Cricetulus griseus: one gene and its partners. The protein of the gene in region 2 purifies or fractionates together with the protein of the main gene of each other region. This does not show direct contact. Links are inferred from orthologs where the notes say so. Each region holds a gene or a part of one and is shown on either strand. Other genes may lie near its edges.

What was found.
Region 1: the proteins of Ciao2b (region 2) and Cdkal1 purify together in Homo sapiens (affinity purification with mass spectrometry; 3 studies listed by BioGRID and IntAct, with this or other methods). This does not show direct contact. The link is inferred for Cricetulus griseus from reciprocal best matches to the Homo sapiens genes CIAO2B and CDKAL1.
Region 3: the proteins of Ciao2b (region 2) and Fbxl5 purify together in Homo sapiens (affinity purification with mass spectrometry; 3 studies listed by BioGRID and IntAct, counting the BioPlex papers as one, with this or other methods). This does not show direct contact. The link is inferred for Cricetulus griseus from reciprocal best matches to the Homo sapiens genes CIAO2B and FBXL5.
Region 4: the proteins of Ciao2b (region 2) and Ercc2 purify together in Homo sapiens (affinity purification with western blotting; 3 studies listed by BioGRID and IntAct, with this or other methods). This does not show direct contact. The link is inferred for Cricetulus griseus from reciprocal best matches to the Homo sapiens genes CIAO2B and ERCC2.
Region 5: the proteins of Ciao2b (region 2) and Mms19 purify together in Homo sapiens (affinity purification with western blotting; 11 studies listed by BioGRID and IntAct, counting the BioPlex papers as one, with this or other methods). This does not show direct contact. The link is inferred for Cricetulus griseus from reciprocal best matches to the Homo sapiens genes CIAO2B and MMS19.

What each region holds. Positions count from the first base shown.
Region 1 is NC_048596.1:250,007,855-250,011,365, reverse strand, and holds the end of Cdkal1 (threonylcarbamoyladenosine tRNA methylthiotransferase), read left to right. Parts: intron 1-2,403; coding exon 2,404-2,604; 3' UTR 2,605-3,284; downstream 3,285-3,511. UniProt on the Homo sapiens protein: Catalyzes the methylthiolation of N6-threonylcarbamoyladenosine (t(6)A), leading to the formation of 2-methylthio-N6-threonylcarbamoyladenosine (ms(2)t(6)A) at position 37 in tRNAs that read codons beginning with adenine.
Region 2 is NC_048596.1:180,906,696-180,910,873, reverse strand, and holds Ciao2b (cytosolic iron-sulfur assembly component 2B), read left to right. Parts: upstream 1-1,375; 5' UTR 1,376-1,414; coding exon 1,415-1,562; intron 1,563-1,718; coding exon 1,719-1,798; intron 1,799-2,011; coding exon 2,012-2,137; intron 2,138-2,531; coding exon 2,532-2,577; intron 2,578-3,006; coding exon 3,007-3,104; 3' UTR 3,105-3,942; downstream 3,943-4,178.
Region 3 is NW_023276807.1:112,389,088-112,393,358, forward strand, and holds the start of Fbxl5 (F-box/LRR-repeat protein 5), read right to left. Parts: upstream 2,801-4,271; 5' UTR 2,713-2,800; coding exon 2,629-2,712; intron 1-2,628.
Region 4 is NC_048602.1:27,967,166-27,970,676, forward strand, and holds part of Ercc2 (general transcription and DNA repair factor IIH helicase subunit XPD), read right to left. Parts: coding exon 3,474-3,511; intron 3,132-3,473; coding exon 3,008-3,131; intron 2,917-3,007; coding exon 2,820-2,916; intron 2,735-2,819; coding exon 2,601-2,734; intron 2,531-2,600; coding exon 2,362-2,530; intron 1,919-2,361; coding exon 1,800-1,918; intron 187-1,799; coding exon 117-186; intron 40-116; coding exon 1-39. UniProt on the Homo sapiens protein: ATP-dependent 5'-3' DNA helicase. Component of the general transcription and DNA repair factor IIH (TFIIH) core complex, not absolutely essential for minimal transcription in vitro.
Region 5 is NC_048596.1:19,568,843-19,573,024, reverse strand, and holds the start of Mms19 (MMS19 nucleotide excision repair protein homolog), read right to left. Parts: upstream 2,808-4,182; 5' UTR 2,765-2,807; coding exon 2,650-2,764; intron 2,433-2,649; exon of another isoform or gene 2,306-2,432; intron 1-2,305. Other genes in the region: Ubtd1 (ubiquitin domain-containing protein 1), read left to right, coding at 3,592-3,661. UniProt on the Homo sapiens protein: Key component of the cytosolic iron-sulfur protein assembly (CIA) complex, a multiprotein complex that mediates the incorporation of iron-sulfur cluster into apoproteins specifically involved in DNA metabolism and genomic integrity.

The DNA of each region.
Region 1 (3,511 bases), about 69 Mb from region 2:
GGGTGGTGATAATGAAGGAAAGCTGACAGGTTCTAGCCATTCAGGCCAGGAACCAGGAATATGAGGTAGCCCATCCCAACACTCACCTCATCTATGAACTGCTGGAACATGTGAAGGGGTCAGACCTTCAGATTCAAATCTAGTGGGTCTCCATGACACAATTCAACTGAGAACAATTTTCAGACATCAGTTTCACTCCTACTATGGGAGTCCTGGAGATCAAACTTGGGTCATTAGGCTTTCTGTTTGTACTGTCTTCATATGTGTTTCATTATTTCTGCTCCGATCTTTCTACCAGTTTTATGCAAGGCCTTGGGGTACCATTTATTTATTTTTTTTTAATTCTCCATCTGGCATGTCTTTCTTCTATTTCACTTTCCTTGCATCTTGTTCTTATTTGGAGAGGCCATGTTTACTTGTGTTTCTCCATTCACATTTGTTCATCCTATAGATCAGGTGACTCTTACTTGGCCAGGGCAGCTTCTCAGTAAGCGACTTTCTCCTGAAGATATGTCCTGGGGTGTTGGTTTGTTACAAAGCTTTTGATCCTCAGAGAGCACTGTAACTTGGTATGGTCCTTCTATAGTTTGACCATGGTCAGGGAGTTTGAACATAGAGCAGGCCAGAGGAGCAAAAGTGAGGACACTGCCATTTCAGTCTTGTTGAAACCAACATTCTGAGAAAACCCCAACCATGTTCATTAGACTGAGAACCACCTTTTCCTTCCCATGGTTTCATATAAAATAGAACCCATCATCCCCAGTACACATAACTCTGAACATAATTACCAAAGGCACAGTTATGAATGGGAATGAAAGTAAGTTGAGTCACATGACACATGGAGGCAACATTACTTGATAGACATATGCCGAAGTTACCAAAAGTACTGAACATATCAATAGACTTCCAGGTTTGATAGCAGTCTCATACAAATAACTTCTAATGATTATTTAAAAACTACAAATCCATTGTGAGTACCATTCTTGAGAGCTCCTTCAGTCAATTGAAGTGGAAGCTTGTACCAAACACCACAAGAGCCAGCCTCAAAGAAGAGCTGTCTCCTGGAGGGTGTGGCTCCCTGATAAAGACTCCCCTTGCATAGAGACCAGCAAGGCAGTATGGGCCCAAACAAAGACTGTAGTTGGAGTTGAGAAAGTCATCATGCTAGCAACAACCTTAAAATCCCCATCAGTCTCCTACAGTGAAACCAAGGGTTCTTCCACATGAATCAGGTATAAATACAAGGTTGGAAATTGGGTCATAAACATTGCCTTCCTTTCTATATTTCTTCTCTATTTTAAATTGTGTGTATATCTATGTGGGGTTTGTGCACTTGAGTGCAGTAATCTCTGAGTTCAGAAGGGAACATGAGATCTCCTGGTTCTGGAGTTACAGGTGGTTGTGAGCTGCCCAGTGTGGGTACTGAGGACTGAACCCTGGGTTCTCTACAAGAGCAGCAAGCACTCTTAGCCGATGAGCCATCTCTCCAGATTCCATATTTCTGTGCCTATACTCAGTTCATTTCCTCTATTTTGTTAAATGTCATTCAATTCTTTCTGCCCTTCAGCCCTTGTCTTCAGGTCTTAGTATTGCCCAATGTGCCTCTACTTCTCTCCACTCTCAGGCACCAGCCAGTGTTTGCAGTGGAGAGGAGCACTTCCACACAGTAGACAAGAGTGGCTCAGGACTGTCAAAGTGCTCAGAAGGGAGGCACAAGAGAATCCAATGGTTGCTCAAGGACAACTGTGCTTACAACGACACATGTTGCACCCCTCTGCCATGTTGTGCCCCTTCTCCAGCCTCTGTGATTCTCTTATCTACATGTCCCAGCAAGGGTGTCCATGCTATATGGTGACATTGTTTTCAAAGGTGGTTGCTAATGTGAAAAATCTCATACAATAGAGACAATGTGTGCTGGGAAATATTAAAACCCATGAGAGTAGCAATGTTCCTTCCTCCACTTTCCCCATGTCAGACTAGAAGCCTTACTGAATGGAGAACAGTCATGTTGACTCACACCTTGTACTCCGCTCACACTGAGTTGTCCCAGCCTTTCTGTGTCTGGCACACCAAAGTAAATGGAGAGAACTCTATGGATCGGGCCACTCAGGTCACCCTGACCTTTATAGGCCTACCTGGAGATGGGTTCAGCCTTCCTCCAATGGCAGAACACCTTGGAATGTCTGCCCTCAAGGGTGTGTTTGATGAACAAAATGCCTTCTATGTAGTCTGAAAAAACAAGACTGTTTTACTCCTCAGAGAAAGAAGCCAACTTTTCCATACCAGGCTTGGGGCTACCTGGACCCTGCAGGGCATCCAAATGTGGCTGGGTTGAAAGAATAAGGATCACTGCAGGAATTTTTTTCTGAAAATTACTTTTCTTACCTGTTTCTCTCTTTATAGGAATTCAGAAATAGGTTTGGAAATCATCTGACTTCACCTTCAGACACCTGTGCTGCAACTCTGCGTGACTCGGCATACTCCAGAATTGTGCTGCAGATGTCCCAACATGACTGTGCATTGTGGGTAGCTGCAGGCCTGGCTCTCACTGCTCTTCTTTTTGCATTTCTGGCCAGAGTCTATGCTTACAATGTAACTAAATGAAGCATCCATAAGGAGTAATTTTCTAATTAAAACCTTTGGGGAAGCAACTACACCAGTTCTCAAGAGGCAGTCATCTGAACTGGTCATGCTGCCTTGTCTGGATCCCTTCTTAATGAGGCTCACCCTGTCTCACATTGAGCTGAGCCATTTGACCTCAAATCACAGCTTCTGGAACATGTCTTTTTCATCATCAAACTCCTTTTGACTTTTTAGCAACATATGCAAGTGGTTGAATTTTTTATTTTCTTTTAATCTCCCAACCTAAGTGCACAGTGGTCATCAGTGGCTCTGGCTGTCAGTTACCCTGGTCTCCAGTGGCCCTGGCCACCAGTGGCCCTGGCTGTCAGTGGCTCTGGCCACCCCTTCCTGGTGTGGAAGAACATCCAGCCCTTAATACACATTCTTCAGGCTGTGTTTGGAGTCCCCGTGCTACAAACATCTTTTTCACAGCACATGTGTTCCTGAAAAGTTTATATAGAAACCTATTTTGGGAACTTGGACCCAAGTCTGCCACTTAAAGGACTCTTCCTAGCATTTTAGAAAATGTGAGGAATCCATGCCTGTAGCACCCACAAACTTTCAAACAAACCACTCTTTTCCTGCCCTCTGACTGGACATCATCAGCCTCTTCTACTGAAATGACTTCTTTCACAATAAAAGGAGTTGGTGCAATAAGCAAACCCTGTGTTTACCGTAATTTAAATGATTTATTTGGATTGAGTAGGCAGAGGGGAACAAAATCAGTGCCTTTAGATACCATGGGATTATTTTCATCTCTAGACCCATCCTCTCTGTTAGTTCTTTCTTACATGTGTCCCCTAAAAAGCCCATCCCAAAATTTAATGTCATCAGTTAGCCAAAAAAAGTACATATGCAAACACACATATGAGATCTCATTACTATCATA
Region 2 (4,178 bases):
GACCCTCCTAATGCTACAAGAGACCCTGGGTCCCTAAATGCTTTTGGCAGTTCACTGGGTGGGTACACTACTCCCAGTCATTAGCCCTTCACTAGCTTCTCTCAATGGTGCACCCTCACTCTCAGTCTCGGCCTCTGACTCTACGTAATTGTGTAATTCTTATTCAAGTCCCTGTCCTCTGCAAGGGTCTTCTGCACTGGGAAGAAGAGAATCAAGGGCCCACACACCATAGCATTTAAACAGCCAGAAAGTCTGTCTAGCCACAATTAATTCAGTGTCTTGGTTTTTGTCTGTGCTGCCATTAGGCATGCTGTGTCTCACAGACAGGCAACAGTGTGTATCAAGGCCTCCTCCAGAAGTTTGACCTGGGCGCTGGTAGGCTGGGCACAGGGGGTGTGTGCCTGGCATGGTTGTTGTGCCTGCAGTAGAGTTTCTGAATAGGCTAAGGTCACAGACTGCAGTGCACTTCTGACCAACAAGCAGGGGGTAGCCTCCTCCAAGGAGCAACGGAACCCCTTTGAGACACCAGGAACCTTTGTCTTAAGTCTTGAGTCACTGTGTTAACCTCCCCTGTAATCACATTCCCATTGTGGAGTTTTGGTTGGAAAGGAGAGTTCAGAAAGGTCTACGTGGTTCTTGGCCCCAGATGGAGAATAGGGCAGGGCGGACCTTCAGGCGATTGGATCCGGATGAGAACTGTACTCACACACACAGGGAGTGGCGGGGGAAAGGGGGTCTGGCTGCCTTCATTCGAAAAAAATCATTTTTGCTTTCGGGACTCATAGTTTACGAGGTCCGCCTTCAAGTATACACCATCTTATCTATTTTATTTCCTGGACTGAAAGGCTACGTCGGCCCTCCCCAACTCATACGTGAATATGACGTTTTTCAATGACGCCTCTCCCTTATAGGCTTTTCTTCCCCAGTGGAATTCAAGTTCATAATCGCTTGTCTACATAAAAAGCATGTAATTAGTGCCTGCTGATCCCTGCTCGGGGAAACCGGCGTGTCTTTTGTGGATCTATGGTTCCGAGATAGCCAGAGAGCGAACTTGAGCATCCGAATGCCCTTTCGGCCTAGCCTCCTGAAGGGGGTGGTAGAGGTTCAATCTCAAGAGGCCCTAGTCAAATGGTTTTAGCTTCTGCGCTCCAGCTCCTGGCAGGATCGCACGGCCAAGAGCCGCGGGAGTCTCTTCTGATGCCCGGGCTAGAACTACCAACATTTTTCCGGCTTCCGCAGAGTAGCAGGCACAACAAATACACTGATCTTGCAAACTACCCGCCGAATCCCGGGAGACTGGCATGTCCCTTGCGCGACCCCGTAGTCACACCACGCCCTCTACTCATTCCCAGGAAGTGCGCCGTAGCAGCGGAAGTACACACCACCCGGGGGTTGTGGGAACCGCAGTTCCGGGATGGTGGGCGGCGGTGAAGGCGGTGGCCGGGTCGGGCTTCTAGAGAACGCCAACCCCCTCATCTATGAGCGCTCGGGGGAGCGGCCAGTGACGGCGGGCGAGGAGGACGAACAGGTGCCCGACAGCATCGACGCCCGCGAGATCTTCGATATCCACCACTGCTGGGAGCTGGCGGACGGTGGGGGTCTAGGGTACCGGGAAGAAGTGATGTGCAACACGGTGGTGGAGGGGTGTCCCGGTTAGGCATGCCTGCGGAGGTTTTGAGTGGGCCAAAACTTAGAGTTCCTTTTCCTTCACTTGGCACATCTTATTCGCTCCATTAATGACCCGGAGCATCCACTGACGCTAGAGGAATTAAATGTAGTAGAACAAGTTCGGATTCAGGTGAGTGTCAGAATGTGATAGCTTATCCAAAGTAGTTTAAAAGGTCCCATTATATGTTAAGAGGCTGGCGTTCTCCATTCACAAGCACCTAAGAGGATCTTTGGGCGGGAGGTTGTTTTTTCCAGTTTAGGTAACTTGCCCAAATTTTAGTAAAGAGAGGATTTCGGTGCTAGGGGCGGTCGTGTAATCTTTATAATCTCCTTGTCAACACAGGTTAGCGACCCTGAGAGCACGGTGGCCGTGGCTTTCACACCCACCATTCCACACTGCAGCATGGCCACACTTATAGGCCTTTCTATCAAAGTCAAGCTTCTTCGATCCCTTCCCCAGCGTTTCAAGGTCAGTTGGAGTCCAGCCTAAGGGTGAATGAAACAACTACTGAGGAGAGGGGACATCAGAGTGGAGACTGGAAGGATCCCAACTCGCAGAGACGAACTGCGAGGAAACGTCAAGCTGATTTGACAAGAATACTGGAAATACTCCAGAAAATAGTGAGGAATGTGGTAGAAAGGGCAGCTGTAGATGGGCTTGATGGAGGCACTGGCAGACCTTTAAATCAGTAGCAGCTGACAAGGCCCTTGGGTAGGTTGACTGCAGGTGGACTTGGGGTGGGACGGAAGTGCCAGAATCGAGAGGCACGATTAGAAAGATGGGTGGAATGGAGGTGGTTTCTGGAGGGAAGGGACCAAAAAAGGATGAATAAGTGCTCAGGCCCAGGTTGTCTTTCTTCCAGATGGATGTGCACATTACACCCGGGACCCATGCCTCGGAACATGCAGGTTAGTGTGAGCTGGCGGGGAAGTTGATCCCCCTCTCCCCTTGGGCCCCAAACTGTTGAGACTTCCCCTTTGCCACAATAGTTTATAAGGAAGGTTAGGACTAAGGGGGGTGGGTGTCTAGGTGACTAAAGAATTACCAGACTACAGCCTAGATCAAACTGGCCTGACCTAAGTCTCCTCCTTCCCATGAGTTTCTCTCCCATATTCCCCAAGGACATTGTATCAGGTTTCTGGAATAGTGGAGGCAGGCTAAGTACTCCCTGGAGGTATGTAGTATTCCTGAAAAATAAGAGAGTATGGGCACAGTTGATAAGGAGTCCTGGGAAGGTGATAGGAGACCTTTATTGGTAGAGATATAATCTGTCCTGAGGCTAGCAGCCTGGCTAAAGTTGCTTTAACCCTCTTTTTATAACCCTCTTTCCTACCTAGTGAACAAACAGCTTGCAGATAAGGAACGAGTGGCAGCTGCTCTGGAGAATACCCACCTGCTAGAGGTCGTTAATCAGTGTCTGTCAGCCCGATCATGAGCCTGGCTTTTGACCACCAGCCTGCACACAGGTGTCCTGGCCTCAGCTCCACCAAGGGCTTGTGGCTTTGTTTTCTTGAATCACTGACAAGGAGAAACTAACATTTTTCATTTTGTAATAAACCCTTAATTTATATTCATTTCCCAGCATGCCTTAGCATCTTCCATGATGGAGTCATTAGGGGTTGTGGAGGGGAGAGTGGTGCCTATGAAGGATGTGTCCATGAGGTGCCCCATCATTTTTTGATTTCTCCCAGTGGGACTGCAAAGATGGCTCAGCAGTTAAAAACACTGCTCTTGCAGAGGACCTGGGTTAGGTTCTCAGCACCTACATGGAGGCCCACAACCATCTGTAACTTCATTTCCAGAGGATCCAATGTCCTATTCTGACCTCTATAAGCACAAGGCACACATGTGGTACACATACCTACATTCAGACAAATACTCATACACATAAAATAAATCAGTAAGCTGAGTGTGGTGGTGCACCTTTTAGTCCCAGAACTCAGGAGACTGAGGCAAGCAGATAATCTGATTTTTGAGGCCAGCCTAGTCTACACAGAGAGTTTTAACTAAAGCTATATAGAGAGGCCCTGACTCAAAAAATGAAAATAAATCTTTTTTTTTTTTTTTAGCTCTTCTAGTGCTTCAGTTAGCAAAAGTTGCAAATGAAAAAAAAAAAAATCTTTAAAGAAATATATAAATACCTGGATAGCCAAACCACCAATGGATTCAGTAGTTTCAGTTGACCTGTTGTGACACTGGCCTTATTTGTGTGTGTTTACAGAACTATTTCTAGAGGAACCTACAGAGACATAAAGAACTATGTCCTAAATTGATATAAGTCTGCTGTCTTAGTTTCTTTTCTGTTGCTGGGTTTTTTGTGGGTTTTTTTTTTTGTTTGTTTGTTTTTTGTTTTTTCGAGACAGGGTTTCTCTGTGGCTTTGGAGGCTGCCCTGGAACTAGCTCTTGTAGACCAGGCTGGTCTCGAACTCACAGAGATCCTCCTGTCTCTGCCTCCTGAGTGCTGGGATTAAAGGCGTGCACCACCAATGCCCGGCTTTCTGTTGCTGTT
Region 3 (4,271 bases), on a different chromosome or scaffold from region 2:
TAAACTATTATACAGAAATATTTAACATAATCTGTAACAACTTAATAATTCGCTCTAAGTAAATTACTCAAAGCACAGAAAAACTGATTTGATGATCCTAAAGAAATCATTTTGTGAATATACTGTGTTTTACAAGTTCAATACTGGGAATAAAATTGAAATCTTTATGGTTTCTGGACATTCTCAGTCAATATCAAGAATACAGTGAAATAACATACTTTGTAGTTTTTAGCTTTAACCAAAAACTAGTTCTCATTTTGCAGTTTTACTGCAGGTTATTTGGATCAGATAACCTTGATCTATACAACTAAAAGAAAGATGACAATGGCAAACCTGGAAATGACAAACTAACCAAAACAACTCTTAGTTCTTTAAGGCTAGTCTGCCATCAAAAAAGTTATTTTCCCACTTCTGCTCACAAAGGACACCCAGAGAACCTTCCACTGGTCATTGGTAACTAGAAAAAATGATGGAAATTACTGTGCAGTTCTTTTTTCGTCATTAAATTGCTTTGGTCATAGTTAAGAAAACTGAAACTTTTAGTATTCTTGAGGAATATAAGCAATAATCTCATTAACTACATGCAATTAATTCAGAATTAATGACTTCTATACAATGCTGGGAACAAATCAGAGTCAATTTGAAATAAAACTATACCAAATTAAACATGCTTTATTAAACTGGCTATGCAAGAGGGAACATTTAACTACTGAGAAGAATCTTATTTGACTCATTTTATTTAAGTCAACTGCATTTCCAAAATTTGCTCAAATGTTCTCAAACACCAAAAAGAGACACAAAAATAATGGCTGTGCCCAGTGGGGTGACAAATGCCTGTAATTCTTGAACCTGGAAGGTGGAAGCAGGAAGCTCAGAAGTTCAAGGCCAGTCTGTGCAATGTAGTGAATTCTCAAGGCCAGCCTGGACTAGGGGAGAAAACTGTGTCAAAAAAAGTAGGAAAACAAAAGAATATTGTTTTTAAAGAGACTGAGTAGTACATTATAAATTTTGATAATCTGGATTGGTCATAATCCTTTGGCAACCTGAAACATCTTAAATACCAGAAAGCTCATATGGAAGTGTACAAACTGACAACATTTCCCATTATCACCAGAGAGTCTCTCGACTCCCTCTCGACAAAATCAGAGTAAAGCCTTGGATTTAATCAGTCCTCATTAAATTCCCCTTTTGCTTTTTAAGAAAAGTGGGGGAAAAGTTTTTCCTTGCCTGAAATTAAAGCATAGTGTGAGAAAAAAAAATCCAAAAAGTGGAGATTATAAAAACAAAACCACTAACTGAAAAATGCAAGATTATACTCTTCTGCTCAAGGGTTAACCAGTCGTTAAGTTTCTCCTAGATAAAAGAGATAATCACCCTCGTTGTACCCCACTCTCACCTGAGAGCTCAAAATTACACTTGATATCTGGGTTCCATGCTCAGACATCCAATATGAATGGGGTCGGATTTTAAAGAGCAACGAAGTGGAGAACCATGATCTAAACAGTGTGTTTAAAGGTACACCTGACTCGGACTGGGTTTGTTTGTTGTTTTGTTTTTTCTTTTCCCAAAATGGAGATAGAGAAAGGGTTGTCGGACAGTAATGCTAAGATCTGAAACTTCAAATTGCCGGTCTTCCTGTGACCTACCAATGAAGACACTGGGTTCTCTGGGTTGTAGGCCAACTCTTACTTGCTGTTAATATGGTGCTAATTCTGTGTAATTTCTGAAAATTCAACTTATGTCTGTGTTTAAGTAATAATTACTTAACAGCTATTTATTTGGTTCATTCTTACCAAACACAGGACGTGCCCAGAGTTTACACATATTTGACCTTCCAAACATAAACTGACAAATGGGAATTTTAAGAAACATTAGAAAAAGACCTTCAACTCATTTCCATAAAAGTAATTCAATTTAGGCGACATCAATTAAAAGTCCAAAACGAGTTTCACAGCAAACCAACTTTCCCTAAGGCCAACAGAGGAACAGCTAGCTGTCTTAAACCAAAATCAACAAGGACTAAATATTCGGGAAAAATAAAAGCTGGAAGGAAAAAAGGTAAACAGAAATGTAGCGTGCAGGTCTTCCCCGGCCCCTGCGTGCGGAACCAAACCAGTGCGACACTGGCAGGGAAAATAAACCCGCTCCGGTGGCTTCAAGACGCTGCCCATGGAGCCGGGAAGCAAGTCACAGGTCCAGGCGGGGGACGCAATGTTTGCAAAGCGACTCAAAGAGCCCGAAGGGGCCGGGCGGGCAGTCCCGCGGTGGCGAGCAACCGCAGAAGCGGCCTGCGGACGCGGACCGGGAGCTCCCGCGGGCGACCGACCCGGGTCTCTCCAACCCTGAAGGGACAGCGGCTGCGGCTCCGGGAGCGCCCCTCACCCCCGCACAGGCCAGACCCGCGAGCAGGACGCTGGGCAGGCGCCGCGCGCCCCGAAGGCACGTCCCAGGCCGCGGCCGGCGCGGGCTTCCCAGGGACCGGGCGGGAAGGTGCGGGAGGCGCGCGGCTGACGGGGCGCAGGCGGCTGATCGTACGGCCCCAACCCGGGGGCGGCGGGAGGCGCGCAGGCCAGGCCGCCCGGAACCCGCCCGCTCCTCCGCGCCGCCCTCCGCCCCGCGCTCCGTTACCTTGTCGCAGTAGCGCCCCACCAGCTGCTTCATCCGCCAGTGTGGGGCGGTGAAGACGTCCACTTCATCGGGGAAGGGAGCCATCGCCACAGCTTCAGCGTCCGCCTCAGCAGCCGCAGCCGCCGCCTCTCCATAGACACCCTCGCCGCGGGGCAGAGGCGGCGCGCCCCCCTGCGCATGCGCCCGCCCCGTCGGCGCGCGCGCCCGGGCCGCTCCGCGGCCGCTCCGCGGGAGCGCGCGGGCCGCCGCCATGCGATGCCGCAGCCCACGTGACCAGCGCGCGCCGAGGCGTACGGATTCCACCTCCCGTCTGCGTGCACGTTCCCCCCCTCTGCTGTGCAGAGACCTGACCGTGTCTTCTCCTAAAAGCGCAGTGTCTGAGGGCGGGGGTCTTCAAGGGTGCTCCTCCGTGACTTGAGGCGGGGCAGTTGACCTGCGTGGTCGGGTCGAGCCTAAGCTCTACGATCGGGGTGACTGTGAGCGCTCCGAGCGCCCAGCCGCCCTCGCTGCCTCGGGGTTTGCTAGGCCGGGGCTGCCGGCTCTGGGCCTCGCTAGCCGGGCCTCCGCGCTGTGGCTGAGGTCAGGAGACATGGCAGCCCCTTGTCTCGCCCCTGCGTGGAGCGTTGGTGTGAGGGTGGGAGGTTGGCCATGGGGAACTGGAGATGCCAGAAGGAGGACAGACACCCAGTACGGGAACAGCAACCCCAGAGCGGCCAGATGAGCCTGGTGGGGGAAGGGCGAGCCATCATGGCGGTCTAATAGGCAAACAGCCTTAGCACAAATCCCGCCATTTTAAACCGAAGGCGCTCAGACAAGAAGAAAGGGCCTTAAACGAGGTCACTGCCCAGAGAAAGGCCAGTAGGTCTCGCCCCTACACTTCACCTTTCCTCATCTAAGCCCTCCAGTATGCTTTTCCGACTTAATGGAAGCAGCTCTCATCTGTGGCTTTAGGACTGATAGAGAAATAGAGGAAACAAGGGCAAGGCTGAGAACCTGTGAATGATGTGCTAATTGCCACAAACTTCTGGACAGTAAACAGAAGATATGCGATATTCACCTTCCTACCCCCTACCACAAATTCATGACAACAGGTAAAAGGAATCAAATGTTCAAAAATGGGGTAGAAGGAGATAAGAAAGAACTCTAGAGCGAATCTGTGTAGTTCTAATCTTACCATTTGATATTAACATGCAAGATGAGCAGGAAAACAAGACTCCGGAGATGAAAATTAGGTTGTTTCACAAAACCCTAGTTGTATTTAACCTAGGAAAGCTACAGGACTTCTGTGCCCGACCTAAGTATATTATCTTCTGTAAAACGGGGGGCGGGAGGGAGTATCTTTATAAGATTTTAAGAGCTAAATTTATATATTTGAAGTGCTTATAGGAGTACCAGGCTCATAACAATGTCTGTAAACAGCGTTAGGAAATTAAGACTGTTGTTCTGCTGGAAGCTCCTCCTTAATCCCCCTCCCCCATCTCTCTCTCCCTAAACCCTGCTTCATTCCAGAAAGCCCATCAGCAGCTCCCCTCTGGAGATGCCAGGGACCGTCCTAACGGCTATTTAAGTCCCGGACTATTGATCTGCCACGTGTGCCTTCATGTTCTGTCTGTCCCCTGCCTTCCTGAGGCCCACTCGAGAGG
Region 4 (3,511 bases), on a different chromosome or scaffold from region 2:
TCAAACACAGGCTTGATGGCCAAGGAGGCGTCCATACAACTGTGGGATAACACAGTCGTCACCCAGGGCAGAGGCCGGGGGCGAAGCCATCCTGTCCACACAGGCTTGCATCTCACCTGAAGTGCAGGATGGGGTTGGCAATGGTCGGGGTCCTGTCATCAAAGGGCTCGATGATAATGGTGAAGCCTGGGGAGGAGGAGGCCGGTGAGTGTGCACGACAGCCCCCGCCTGCCCCTGCCCCTGCCATGGCTAGCGCAGGACAGGACTGTACAAACGCTCAGGTGTGGAAGCAGGGTGAGCCAGGGCTTCACTGCACGGCCCCGCAGGGAGGCCAGGCCCGCCCTCCCCCAGGCCGGCCTCACTCCCACCTGTCCCCCCCTGCTCCCCACACTGCAGTCGGGGAGACGCTATGGAACCTTAAGTTGGCTGGTGTCTCCACACTCCTGCCATACCCAGAAGTGTGCCCATGAACTCTGCAGGGCCAGCCCTTGCTCCCAGCTACGGTATCAGCGTCATGTCCCAGGGCCCACTTGGTTGGTTGGGTCCTTGTTCCACAGGCACCCTGGGAGCCAGGACTCCTGCTCCTCACAGCACAGCCACACTTTCTAGTGTCCCCTTCTGGAGTGATCTTTGCTCCTAGCCCCCAGGCTGTGGCTCCCAGATGAGGGTAGGGATATGGACAGGAGGATGAGGGGGGCAACTAAGGCTGTGCTGGGCCCAGCCTGGCTGTGTGTGTTAGACTCCGGGCCCAGCCTGGCTGTGTTAGATCCCGCTGTCTCCACGGGGCCCAGCCTGGCCCATCTGTTGACTGAACAAATGATTACATTCACAGATTCTGTTTCACTTGGCAAGGAAAGACCAGGTCTTGTGTCCAGCATCATGCTGAGGACCCAGCAGAAACCAACAGAATCTCGGTCCTACCCAAAAGGGCTCTCCTTGCACGGGGGAGACAGCTAGCCAGAGACCCAGCTGGGACAGAGGGAGGGGCAGGCCCAGGATGGAATGGAGTGGGGGTGACTTTCTGAGAGGTAAAGGACTTGACTCGGGCAGGTGATGGGGCACAGGGAAGGAGGCTTTCTGTAAGACTGTGATGGATGCATCAGTAGGTGGGGGCCGGAGGGAGAACAATGAAGGCCAGGAGAAGAGGCTGGGTGAGGGCAGAAGGAAGCAGACAGCTGCCAGCAGCCCCTTCTTCCAAGGCTGGGCCAGCTGCAGGACGCCAGCTGACCTGGTTTCCTGGCTACGGTACTAATCCCCAGGGATAAGCTTAAAAACTCAGTGCAAAGCTGGGGCGGGCGGGGGCAACAAAAGCTGTAGCTTGTCCCCTCTCCCTGTGCATCACCTGCATCCCTCTCCCTCAAGGGCTTTTACATCTGGCCGCTTTCTCCCATAGCTCTCCCCAAGGCTCCCTTTTCCTGTCCCCACAGTCTATGGCTCCCCCTCTCTGTTGGATGAACCTTGAAAACAACAACCTCACCAAGTACATCCCTTGCCCAGACCCTGCCATGGCTCCCGGTGCCCTCAGGCACACATGAGGACTTCTCCCCCAGCCAAAGGTGGGCTGACCGCACAGCATCCCTCTGCTCAGTATCACAGCTCACTCGAGTTCTCCCCCTGCAGCCAGGAGGAGCCTCTAGACACACGAATCTGAACACGAGGCTCGCTCACTCGCTTGTTCCCCAGGGCCCTCATAGTAGCTCAAATCCCCTGTCTCACATGCCCAGACTTCCTGCTAATACCCCACCCGACTTAGCTAGGCCCCCAAGTCCGCTGCCAGGAGGAGCAAGAGGGGAGCTTACCCTTGGCGTAAGTGCTGACGAGAGTGGCGAAGTTAGCAAGGAGTGTGAGCGGGGAGAAGTCAGCCAGGTCAGCAATCTCCAAGGTGTGCAGGAGGGAGCGCAGGCGCTCAGCACAGAACCTGAGAAGCCATGGGGTCGGGAGAGGGAGGGAAGCAGCAATGGCTGGGACTCTCGCCACCTGTTTACCTGGGCATCGTCTGTGGCCAAGCTGTCCCCACACTGCAAACATCCACAGCTACCGCACAGCACTAGCACACGCACACGGCGCCCAGGTTTGCCGCTTGTATGCAAATTCTTGTCAAACAAGACCCATGGCCATCAGTCACTGTGCTGTGCAGCCAGTGTCGTGGGCCCCACGCTCAGAAAGAACAGCCACACACTTTCCCAGGCTCGCATATGCACACGCATAGGGCTGCAGAAGTACCAGGTAGTCCTGCAGCGGTCACAGCCAAGAGCTGACCTCACAGTGACACGGCTCGCTCCACATCCGACTCTGACCTGACCCCTGACCCCGTCACCAGCCACAGGTCTGGACCTGAGGTCCCCATGGCAGCATGCGCACCTGAGGGGCTTGCGTTGGATGCACACGCGCTGAGCCAGGCCGCTCAGGAAGGCAGGAGGGCTCTCCTGTACCACATGCTGCACGCGCAGCCGCCACTTGACGTACTCCAGCAGCCGCCGCAGGAAGCCCAGGAAGTGCTCGGCAGTGCGGATGGAGCCTGGCACGGCCTCTGCAGGGAGACTGAGTCAGCTGGCACGGGAAGGAAGGCGTGTGAGGGTGGGGGGTGGGGCACGGCTCACCCTGCAGCACCTCGTCCGGCAGCACAGGGTTCGCCAGGTGCGCGTCTGTCTCCCGCGCCGCGCTGGCCTCCCGCAGCCCCTCCACCAGGCGCCGGTACTCGTCCCGCAGCCGCTGCTCGTCTGTCTCCTTGATCCTGGCGGGGACATGGGACAGAGCTGGAATGGGGCAGGTGTCCAGGGCCACGGAGGCAGGCGGCACACAGGGAGCAGAGTGGGCACCTGAGCACCGTCTTCTGCAAGGTGTCCAAGTTGCTCTGGCAGCGGTCCAGAGTCCTGCGGGTGAGGTTTACACTCATGGAGTCGATGCAGACATTGTCTAGGAGGAAAGCAGACAGACATGGGCTCAGCCGGCTTGGGGGCGGGGCAGAGAGGCCGCCGCTGTCTGCACACCCTGGCACCCTCCTCACCAATGTTGTGGGCTTCATCGAAGACCACGACGGCCTTGCGGGCCAGCTCTTTGGACACCAGGTCTGCGATCTTGGGGTCCAGGAGATAGTGGTAGCTGTAAACCACCACGTTGGCATGCAGGATCTAGGAACATGGAGGGATAAGTTTTTGCCTTGGGCCCTGCTGCCCCCGCCATACCACTCCTTCCCAGGTGTACAGACGTAACACCAAGACAGACAGCAGGTGGATGGAAAAGACAGATGGGACCACCCAGGCAAGGCATAAACAGAGGCTGGAGACAGGAAGACCTAGGTACCAGGTCAACAAAGATGCAAGCAGACAGATGGGCTAACGGAGGGGTGGGCAAAAGTGGCTCATGCCTATAACCCCCATAGCTGGGAACCTGCGTAAGGTTCTTCTAAGTTTGAGGCCAGCCTGGGTTATAAGTGAGACCCTGCCCCAGAAGAAAACAAAACAACTCTTCACCGAGTATCGAGCCAGGAAGTAGGGGCACCAGCCCTGCC
Region 5 (4,182 bases), about 160 Mb from region 2:
CAAGATACGAAGTGACATGTTGTCTGGCCAGGGTAATAAGGAAATACCGGAAGACCAGTACTTGAACTGGGCCTTGAGTATAAGGTCTAATTTGGATTAGATATAGCTAGTAGAGGGAACTGGAAGGAAAACACTCAGGAAATGGAAAATGAAGGCTGGTGCCCAGAACTAAGGGTCCAAGAGGTCAATGTTGAGAATAAAGGCTGGGACCAAGTACTGGCTATCTTTGAATGCCTGTTTGAGAGGCCTTAATTCCTGGGTTCCCAAGTCATTTCCTTTCTAGTACTTGGATGTTCATGGGAGCTGACAACTATTTCCATCAGAAACTACCAGGTGCAAAACAAAGTTGCAGTTCCTTTGTGTTCACAGGTCATTCCTTCTTCATTTGTAACTTGTAGAAGAGCTGTGGCTTCCAAGGCTGATGTGTTCAGTAGGAACACAGACTGACTTAGGCTGGAGGAAGTACATCATACTCTGGGAATAGTCCAAAACTGTCAACTTCCATAACCTAACAACTATGATCTGAGACTGGGAATACTAAATTAACCCTTCCTAAATTTCCTTTCATTTTAAGGCTCTTGCTCAAAGAGCTAAACTCCTATTGCCCACACACCAGGTCATTCAGATCCAAGGTTCTGAGATATATATATATTTCAGCTCCATCAAACCTTTCAGCCTTGTCCGTTACTGTGCCTCTGCACCAACCTTCTGTATGTTAAGATGAGTACTTTACAACAGGGTTCACTTACACACATGCTACAGAGTTCATTTTAAACCATATGAAAGTTTAGGCTTTTAAAAAAAGACATAAAAACAAAAAATACATTTTACAAAGATATAAAAATGTACAAATGCGGAAAAACAGTTACAGGTTAACATTAACATAGTAATATTGTCTATCTTGGAATGAGGTGGTATTAAGTACCTCTGTGAAAAACAATGTTCCCAATATAATTCATTGGATATGTTTTACCTCCAAATAAACCATAAACAAACATTAGTCAATGATAGAATGCCGAAGTACTTAGAGATAAATGTACTGACCTCTGCAGTTTAAATGGGTATGTGATAATTCAAAGTACAGAAAAAAAAATGTTAATGATCGGCTCTAAGTAGTGTTGGATGTGTAATCCCTATAAAATTCTTTAAGCTGGGCAATGGTGTTGCATGTCTTTAATCCCAGTACTCAGGATGGCAGGGGCATCTGGATCTCTGAGTTCAAGGCCAGCCTGGTCTACACAGTGAGTTCCAGGACAGCACAAAGAAACTTCATGTCAAACAAACAAACAAACAACAATAATAAATAAAAATTCTTTAGATTTTGTTAAACGATAGAAAATTTCCATAGTAAAATACTGAGGGAAATGGCATTAATAATACCCCATAACAGACTATACTTGATAAAGTTGTAAAATATTATAAGCAGGCTTTTTTTTTTTTTTTTGATATGATCTCACACTGTAGTGGAGGCTGGCCTAGAACTCACTATCAAACTTGCCATCCTCTTGCCAAATCCTGAAACTAAAGGCATAAACCACCAAGTACAGCCAATCGCAGACATTTTTGCCCCTTAATACTTACGAACCACCATGTACTTGCTTCTAACCACACAACTGTCTGTCTCTCACTACATTATAATCTCTTTGTGCCCACAGCATTTAATTTGTATTTTTGTTCCCAATCTTTTCATGCTGGGTGAAAAATACGTGCTCAGTAATAATAGAATCGCAGAACGAAAGGGGAATATTGCTAAGGACCAGCATATATTTCTAGCAGAAGTTCATTTCTCGTATATTATGTTCAATCTGCAGAAGAAACTTCTGCTCCCAAACATATAAAACACCCCAAAATAATTTAAGAAAACCCGCATCTATACCCATTTTGTATTTTATTTCTTAAACCTGACTCTGAATGTTAGGCATCCTAACATTCAACATTTGGAAAGAATTCCAAGGAGGTCTCCTGGAATTTAATTTACTCAAATCCTGGATAAACTCAGAACTGAGAGATTCCAGAAACTGGAACTCTGGGAAGATAACAAATGGGCTATTTTAAGAAACCGTGAAGCTAACTTGTCAAAAACCCCACTAAGTCAGTAAGTGAAGCCTGAATAGCAACACTAGTCACCTACAAGCCTATCGACCGGGACCCAGACTAGCTCCTCCCCTCCTCCCTCTAATTAACCACGCTCAAGAGAGCTGTGGCGCATGCTACCTCCGGGATGGCAAGAGACCGGGGCGTAACCCTTCGAAGCCGCACCTCCACGCGTTAACACTCCACAAACGCGGCCCCCGAGTGCGAGCACCTGGTTTGGAGCAGAACACGCGAGTCCAAGTCCCAGCTCCACTTCCGGGCTGGTCCGCGCCCTTACACAGTCTCCTGCTCTCGCTGGGCCTGGGGGTGGCCGGAGAAATGCAACGATTCTCTACCGACTACAGTGAGAGGCGGGATGTAAAGGGAGGTTTAAGGAAGGTGCAAGCGACTCTCCAACTTGTTAGGGCGGCAGCGCTCGCCGTGCGGGCCGAGCGAGCAAAGGACCAATCACAATCAACCTCCTCTCCCTTCACTCCCTTCCCGCCGCGCGCCGGGGCTGAGGCCGCTCCCTTAGGTCCGGCCCTTGCAGAAACCTCACGGCTCTGCTTGCCCTACCTGCAGCCACCTGGTCAGCGGGCCCCTCCTGCTGGCCCATGACGAAGTCTTGCACGAGGCCGCACAGGGCGTCCAGAGGCGCCGCCGCCTCCTCGAGAGCGGTGGCGGCAGCCATGACGCGAGCCGGAGACTGTGGGAGGGGAGGTAGGTGGTGCCCGGAGAGGAGCCTCTCTGCGCACGCGCCTCCGCAGCCAATAGTGGGGCGCAGGCCTCGGGGGCGGGACGCTCCGGGGTCACGTGCCTGCCGGCTCTGGGCCTGGCGGTTCCTGGAGGGACCTGACGGCCCCTCCCCCAGAGGGCGGGGCCGGGGCCGGGGCGCGGCACGAGGAGGGGAAGCGGCCCCCTGGCACGCAGCCGGGGCGGTTGAGGGGCGCATAATTCCCGGTCTCTCTCTCCCCGGGAGACGGACGGCAGGGCGGGCACCTGGCTGGGTGGGGCCGAGGGGCGGTACGCACCCAGGGGGAAGCCAATGAGAAAACCAGGCCCGGCCCGAGGGGCGGTGCCGTCGGTCACATGCGCACCTGGGACGGCTGGCGGCGGTGGCACGGGCACCCCGAACGGGAGGAAGGGAACGGGGCCGGGCTGGGGCGGGGTTAGGCAGGTGACTGACAGGCTCCGGGGGGCCGGCCCCAGCTGGGAGCCGCGAGCGATCCAGGAGTAGCTGCGGCGGTGTCCGCCCCCTCCCTCCGCCCCTCCAGCCGGCTGGTCTCTGGCCGGGCACTGTCGCGGGCCCCCCTGGCCTGGCCACCTCCCTCTCCCCTGGCCCGCAAAGTTTGTGGCGAAGCCGACGTCGGGCAGAGCGCACCCCAGGGGAGATCCAGGATCTCCCGATGTCGGGCTGCGAGAGCCGTTGACCCGGGGACGCCGCGGTTCCGGGCAGCAGCGTGGAGCAGCCGGCCGGCCCGCCGTCTCCGGTGCATGGGGACCGGCTGAGAAGCCAGCATGGGCAACTGCGTGGGGAGACAGCGCCGGGAGAGGCCGGCTGCTCCGGGACACCCCCGCAAGCGAGCAGGTAACGCCAGGAAAGGCAGCGGGGTCCCGGCGCGCCGCCAGTTGGCCCCTGCCTTGCCCGAACGCTGGGGTTCTCGAGCGACCTCGCACAGCGCCTAGGTTCCCCCTTGGTTTTTCGGAGCCAGACGGGGCCCTCCCCGGCGAGGGTTGGCTGGGAAGCGAGTTGGGGTAACTGCGAGCGCTGACCCGGCTGCGAGGCCAACTCGCTCCCACCGGGAAGCTGGGGGTGGGGGCGGGAGCAGGAAATGTTTCCAGACCGCGACGAGGCCGGCGGAGGGGGCCGGACGAGTGCGCCGCTGGTCTGGCAGCCCCGGCCGGGGTCGGACAGCGGCCGGCCGGGGCGCGGCGTGGGCAGCCTGCGTCCCCCGAAGTCGGAGTCGCTCCTTCCAGAGAGTCACAGTGTTATTATCAGGCTGCAGATCGTGTCTGCGAGAATCCGACTTGCAAAAGCAGTGCAGGGCCATGGGATCGAAATCTTTATTCCTCCCCACCCCTCCGCGGGGCTTTTTAGAGCCTCCTGGA